Linked DNA regions of Xenopus tropicalis. Each later gene encodes a partner of the first gene's protein in a complex. Links are inferred from orthologs where the notes say so. Each region holds a gene or a part of one and is shown on either strand. Other genes may lie near its edges.

Evidence for each region. The genes of interacting proteins can lie anywhere in the genome.
Region 2: the proteins of irak2 (region 1) and irak4 are in contact, whole or in part, in a crystal structure (PDB 3MOP), measured with the Homo sapiens proteins. The link is inferred for Xenopus tropicalis from reciprocal best matches to the Homo sapiens genes IRAK2 and IRAK4. Residues at the interface, in NP_001561.3 of Homo sapiens: Tyr6, Ile36, Lys44, Met48, Glu59, Trp62, Trp63, Trp64, Gly65, Met66, Arg67, Gln68, Ala69, Gln73; in NP_001107654.1 of Homo sapiens: Asp24, Phe25, Pro28, Gln29, Lys34, Glu92, Phe93, Phe94, Ala95, Pro96, Ser98, Val105.

What each region holds. Positions count from the first base shown.
Region 1 is NC_030680.2:131,764,998-131,768,654, reverse strand, and holds part of irak2 (interleukin-1 receptor-associated kinase-like 2), read right to left. Parts: intron 1,126-3,657; coding exon 937-1,125; intron 214-936; coding exon 149-213; intron 1-148. UniProt on the Homo sapiens protein: Binds to the IL-1 type I receptor following IL-1 engagement, triggering intracellular signaling cascades leading to transcriptional up-regulation and mRNA stabilization.
Region 2 is NC_030679.2:64,406,231-64,409,887, reverse strand, and holds part of irak4 (interleukin-1 receptor-associated kinase 4), read left to right. Parts: intron 1-1,339; coding exon 1,340-1,404; intron 1,405-3,067; coding exon 3,068-3,182; intron 3,183-3,657.

The sequences.
Region 1 (3,657 bases):
TTTTTATATCAGCTTTTTACAACAAGGGAAGTGATTTACTTTTACCTGTCTCACTTCCTGAATAGAGCAGTACCTTACTCTGCTAGGATACAGCAGCATATGAGATTGGCCATACTATCTGTAGAAGTTCCCTAATGATGGCACGTACCGGAAACTGATTTGAGCCTCTGTGTGGAAAAATGAAGACATCCTTTTTTGCTCTTCATCCTGTACCTAGAAGAGAAAACCACAAACATTACAAATCATGTTATTACATCACGGGAGGCACGAAATGAACTATGAAGGTGCTAGTACTGCATGGAAAAAAACATGCTTGAGATTTCAGGGTTTTAAGTTTGTGGTCCTTGGTTAGGGTTGCCACCTGTTTTTGCCACCAATATCCGCCTTCGGGTTGGGGGTGGACAGTGATGTCACTTGGGGGTGGAGTGATGTAACAGGGTGGGAAAATAGGTGGATGGGGTGGGATATGGGCTGGATGTGCATAGAAATGGGCAGGGAAGAGGTGGGCCTCTGCTTTAAAGGGGGTGATTGGCCATGGAGTGGGTTAGAGAAGGGAGGGATTTATAGGTAGGGTTGCCACCCTTACAAATTTACCAGCAAATATATTGCTAGTAAATTTATAGTACCAGCACTGGCCCTAGCTGGTGATTTACCCTAGACAGCTCACTAACATAGAGCAGGGCAAAGTGCAATGTCAAAAAAAAACAGGAGCAAAACACCATTGGGGTCATTAATCAACACTGATTGGCACTGATGGGCAGTAACCCATGGCAACCAATCAAATTGTTGCACTTATTGTTCTACCTACAACTGGTTGGTTGCTATGGGTTACTGCTCATGGGAGAATTTCCAATATTGATAAATGAGCCCCAAATGTTTTGCACTTTGCATCCTATTAAAAACAGAAATGAATATCCATGGACTAATCTACTTTACCTTTTTAAGCCTTTTTATTGCATATAGTTTGTCTTGTTTGTGTCCCATGTAAACGTCGGCAAATTCTCCTTCGTGTATGATTTTGCTGCTGCAGAAACAGTCAGTGGCATCCTCCACGTCCTTCTGCGTCCATATTTTACACAACCCTTTTGAAAAGGAACTTTTCTCTTGCTGCGGGATACTAAGAACCTTTACAATCAATGAAAAATAAAATATAGTACATTATCCAGAAAGCTCCGAATTACGGAAAGCCCGTCTCCCATAGACTCCATTTTAATCAAATAATTCAGAATTTTAGAACTGATTTCCTTTTTCTCTGTAGTAATAAAACAGTACCTTGTAACTGATCCCAACTAAGATATAAATAATCCTTATTGGATGCAAAACAATCCTATTGGGTTTAATTAATGTTTTATAGATTTTTTTAATAGATTTAATGTATGGAGATCCAAATTACGGAAAAACCCGTTATCCTGAATACCCCTGGTCCCGAGCATTCTGGATAATGGGTCCTATACCTGTATTTGCTTTAAAATGTAAACTGTATCAGGCTGTTTCATATCATTAACATGTTTTACTGATACCTTGCACTTGGGTGCCACATTGTTATTAAAGCATTGGGAAATCTTTCTGGCTGTATGAAAGTCATAAAAAGCAAAAAGAGAAATATATAATAGAGTTTAGGGATCCCTGTTTTTAAGAATGGCCATTCCAGAATAGTACTCCCTCTGTCCCAAGGAATGCAAAAATCATCCCATCCCCCATGATTAGAATTACTATCTTTGGACCCTGGGAAAGTGCTGCTCTTCTCTAAAATACACACCAGCAGGGGTTCCTATTAACATCCTATGAACGTACACATAGATACCGGGTTACTAACCAATTCATTACTGCTCTGATATCCATTAGGCTAAGTGAGGGAATAGCTGAGGGGTCCTCAACCAATCAATATAAAAATGATGAAAACAGCAGCACTCCGGTTGTTTTGAAAAATGTGAATCTTTACTCAAGTGCCAAAAAGTGCTGCTGTTTTCAGCATTTTTGTATTTATTTGCCCGGGCAGTGGGTACAGCGTGCACCTGGGGCTGCAAGAAGCTATTTTCACTGTGTCAGCACATGTTAACTGATTCAACCAATCAATATACCCACAGATCATCTTATTGAAATTTTCAACTCTTTTATGGTCTATAAAGATACAATATGTCTCTAAATGAGAAGAAAACCTAGTCGGATGCATACAGCTGGCCAAACACAGCATAACTTCCTCATTTGGTGACCTGACCATCCAAAGCAGTTGGCCCAATCAGCTGATTCAATTTCTGTCCCTCACTGAAAAAATCATTGGATAACCCAGGTGATTTTCACATACAATACGATATCTGCTGCCCTTAATATGCAGGATTTATTGCCTCTGCTGATGATATCTGACCTAGGTTCAATCAGATATAAGTCAGAGAAGGCATCATTATGCCAGCATGCTGTCTATATATAAATGTGCATTTATATTTTGTTCTGGATAGTGTTTATGCATCTTTTCTACAACGCCTCAACTGAATAAACTCATGTCAAAAGGGGGGTTTATAATTTTTTTGAGGCTAATATCCCAGGGAAGGTAACACTAAGCTGGATCTGTACTAAATAACATGTGAACAGTGCAGTGTTTCTTATATCTCAGTCTGTGGGGCTTCCAAACTGCGATGTGTGGGTTGTACAATTAATTAAGCACTAGAAAGCAAGGTTAAGGTTCTGATCAAGGGCTTGAATAATCTGAATGCTGAAGATGAGATGTCTCTTTGTGGTTGTATCTGTTTTTTTCCCAGTATACTTATCAGATATATTGCGTTGTAAGTTTATCTGATTGGCAAGCTGCATAGCAGATTTGGTGATTAGGTGCAGACCACAGATCTGAGATACTATAGTTGTTATTTTTACAAGTCAGAAATGGAACTCAGGGAGTGGCAAGGAGTCCATTAATTGCAGAAAGCCTGGGGCCTACAACTCAATAACTCAATTTAATGGGCCCCGTAATGAACTGTGCTATTAAAGGAGAATATTTATGTTTGCGTAGATGGAATATTTTTCTTAGTAACGCCTAAAGAAAACCATTATGAGTTATTTTTTGGATCTACATGCTACCAGTGATCTCAGACCTGGGCCTCTAGGCCTTGTTTCTTTCCAGATTATTGTGACATTACCAGAACTGTAAGGGTTAAATCCTGTAATCTCTGTTCGTAACACCTGTAGCACGAACTGTTAGGGTAAATCTCTGTAACTCTGTCTGTGCACCTGTAGCACTGTCCCTATAAGCAGTCACGGACCGGTCCGATTTAATCTGTGCGTCGGCGAAACATCTGATATCGTCTGCGCATGTGCGCTGATCAGGGAACTTGTACAAACGATACAACCAGTATGTGTATTGCAAACAAGTACCAATTTATTTTGTTTTGATATTACTTATATAGTAGATAGAAAAACACATCCCATTATGCTTACGTATCATGGGTGGGTACATTGCAATTATTAGTAGAAATACAGAAATTATTTAATTAGCTTATAACACAACATATGGGCTGTCATAAAGCTTTCTTTTTAGGTATGTTTTACGGAAAGGATAATCTCCCTATTAAAGCCAGGCCAAGTAGATTTGGCACCCAAGGCATGGATGGCAATGTAAGCTATCACCCCCATGGTACAGCACACCATTACTACTGTCTGAAAGTG
Region 2 (3,657 bases), on another chromosome or scaffold:
CAGTAGTCTTAGGAATAGGCCACGGTGCCATACTGAGTCAAAAGCCTTTTTGAAGTCCACAAAACAGGCAAATATTTTTCCTTGTTTTGTATTGTGGACATGATCTCTGATGAGGCTGTGCAGGGTGTAAATGTGGTCTGTGGTGCGGTGGTTTGGCAGGAACCCTGCTTGGCTCTGGCTGAGGACATTGTGCTGGGTTAGGAAGGTGAGGCTTCGCCTGTTCAGAATACTGTTGAAAAGTTTTCCCAGGGTGCTGCCCACACAGATCCCTCTGTAATTGGCTGGGTCGTACCAGTCCCCACTTTTGTAGATGGGGGTTATGAGGCTTTGATTTCATGCCTTGGGGAAGTGGCCGACACTCAGGGCTAGGTTGAAGAGTTTGGCTATTGCAGCATGTGTTTCTGGGGGGCCCTATTTAATCATCTCCGGCAGGATTCCATCTGTACCGGCGGCTTTTTAACATTGTAAGTCTTTTATTTTGTCTGCTATTTCCTGGGGTGCCATTGGTGCATCCAAAGGGGTCTGGAAGTCCTTGATTTTCTCCTCCAGAGCATGAAGCTTTGCCCTGTATATTCTTTTGTTCTGGGGTTTGCTCACATGGGGGATTTCTTTGTACAGATCCTTGAAATAGTTCCGCCAGATGTTGACATTTTGTATCTCTCTCTTTCTCCCTCTCTTTGAAATTTATCATAGCAGTTAGATGCAATACTATAAAGCAGTGGTACCCAGTGTTTGTCACCCTGTGATCTACTCTTTCACATTTAATGCCCATATAACATTATACAAATGTCAACACAGCAGTATGGCTGCAGTTAAATGCTCTGTTATGTTGGGGGGAAAAAGAAGTGGTGGGATGGCATCCCTCCTTGTGGTCTACGAAAAACTTTAAAGTGATCTACTGGTAGACCGCGATCTACCTCTTGGGCACCCCTGCTATAAAGTATCATTGGAACAAAATGTTGCTTTGTTACTTTTTGCTGTTATTGTTATGCCATATCAAAAACATCAAAACAGTGCCTAGTCTTAGTTGCCCAGTAATGCCACAGAACAACTACACTATAACTGTAATATTACAGTCTTGAATCAAAAATATACAGCTACTGCACATTGTTTTCTGTTACTCTATGTGGTGCTCATTGAGTTCTGAACTTGTCCTTGTTTTAAATACCATACAGCTGCTCTGCAAAACTGAATTAATAAGTTTGCCTTGCCTGCTACAGGGGCACATTGATTAGCATTATTTTTTTACTCTGTTTGAAACACTGAATGAAAAGAGGATGATGTTACTAAATAATTGACATTAGGGTTAACAATAATAAATTATCTTTTTTTTTTTTAGCTGGTCGATGCTAGTATTCAGGATCTAACATGCCAGTTTGAACAAGAAATCAAAATTATGGGCAAGTGAGTAATTCAACATTACTTCAATATTAGTGCTATAAAATAATGAGAAAAATAGTTTGGGCAAAAGTTTCCACACATTTTAGGCCATAAACAGAGAGAGACTGCTACTTTTCAAACTAAAAGAATTAATATCAGGAGCAAGGGTGTGCACACAAGCTTACCACTGCCATATGCAGTGTATGGTGATGTTAGGCAGGAGTGGTGAAAAGGTCTGAAGGGACAAATTGCACTTCACTACTGGGCAGTCTGATGCATGTGTTTGGTTGGTGCCAGGAAAATGTTACCTGTCTGAAGGTGTGACAACTATGTGTTTCATATTTATGTCAACAGTTTGGGGAAACCCCTTCCCAAATTCTGAATAATAATAATCTAATCAAAAAGTGGGGTTTGTTGAGGTTGGAGTTGAAGAGTCTGACTGAACTGCTTAGAGCCCTCAATTAACTGAACACTTGTGAAGTGGAACTCTGATTGCAAGCTAGGCCTGTTTGCCAAATATCAGTACCCAACCTCACAAATATTTTGTAGTCTAATTGAAGCAGATTCCACCAATCACGTTTCAATATTAAGTGGAAAGCATTCCCTGAAGAGAAGACGCATTCATTTCTTTGTAATACCCATGAAGTCAGACAATATACAAGCTACAGCTATACAATGATGCTGTAATTTTTACTTTATCAAAAATGTACCTTTCTTCCTTTGGTTAACATTCATACAGCATATTCAATTTGCCATACTGCGCGGTACATTTGCAGTGAATTAATGAGATGCCCTACATTTTTCTTTCCTTCCTGCTGCTCTGCAAATCCGAGAGTAGTTGCACTAACCCGGTTCATGGGACAGATGAAATTAAGCCATAAACAGAAAATGGAGTAGAGAAAGGGAACAAAAAAGCAAGAAATGGAGGAGTGGCTGGGCAGTTGTATTTATAAGTGAGTGGATGTGGTGAGTGTAAGTAAGTTTGTACAGTTCCAGTAGTAACTTTACTAAGAGAATCCTTTTGTTGAGTGATGGAGGTTATGGGCTCATCCAGTTCTGGGCTACCATCTTTTTGGGGTATAATAAAATGGGTTGCAGCCACGAATTTCATAACTTGTTGCCAGAATTCCTGCATATCAGGGCAAAACCATAGTGAGTGCAGGAAATGTAAATGCCGAAATTAGGCAGCATATGTAGCACATCATACATAAAAACATGACCAGTTTGTTTCGCTCCTTACTTAATCTATGCTGCTGCTTTCAGGAAATTCAGCAAAAGGTTACAATTGCTCCACAGTGGGCTATCTTGTTATACTTCCTTTAAACCTAAAATGCATAAAGCATCCGTTTAAATTGCTGATGTTTTGTTGCCTTGACTTTTACCACCTGGCATTAGTTTATTTGGGTACTATAGCTGCAATTTTTATTTTAGACCTGTATAAGCTTTAAGGCTTGCATACAACTGCAGATTTCTGTTATGTATATAATTAAAACATTGAAAACATGTGCTTTCATTTCTCTTGCTTTTGCTTACTAAATTTTTGATCACTGTGTCATATGAAAGACTACAGTATTCATGGTATGACAGGAGGAGAATTTTTTTTTTTGTAGTAGTTATCATGACTATTCCTGCCATTTGATTGTTGTTTACGGGAAAATTATCCCATGATATCTGTTTGTTTCTTTAGATGCCAACATGAAAACCTTGTAAAACTACTTGGTTATTCCAAAGATGGTGATCAGTACTGTCTGATATACACATATATGCCAAATGGTTCTTTGCTGGACAGGCTAGCTTGCTTGGTAAGTTCATATATTGTGATACTCAGAAGAATACAGAGGTACTCTGGTGTTGCAAAGCTGACATGTAGGATATGTAGCAACAACGTTTAGATGAATAAAAAATCAACATCTAGGGGAGGAATGGATGTATTTTTGTGATGGTCCATAGAAAGAAGCTGCATGTCCTGATAAATGTAAGTTGGGAAATTGAGGAAGGGGGCCTAAAGTTACACTTAGACACCTGCCATGGAAAACTGAATGTAGGGTGATGTTGTGGACTGTAATGTTAAATACAGGGAGGGGACTGGGTTTAAGTTGGAATATGTGCAGCTCAGGCCCATTTAAGTAAATAAGATATATGAGAGGGGACCATCTTGGAAAGAGTGGGTAGTGCCTTTGCAGGGGCACTTTAATATAGTTATATATATCGCTTTCCATGTCTTTTTAAACACTTATGATACCCAAAGTTTATATAATATGATAAACTGTTGGTTAA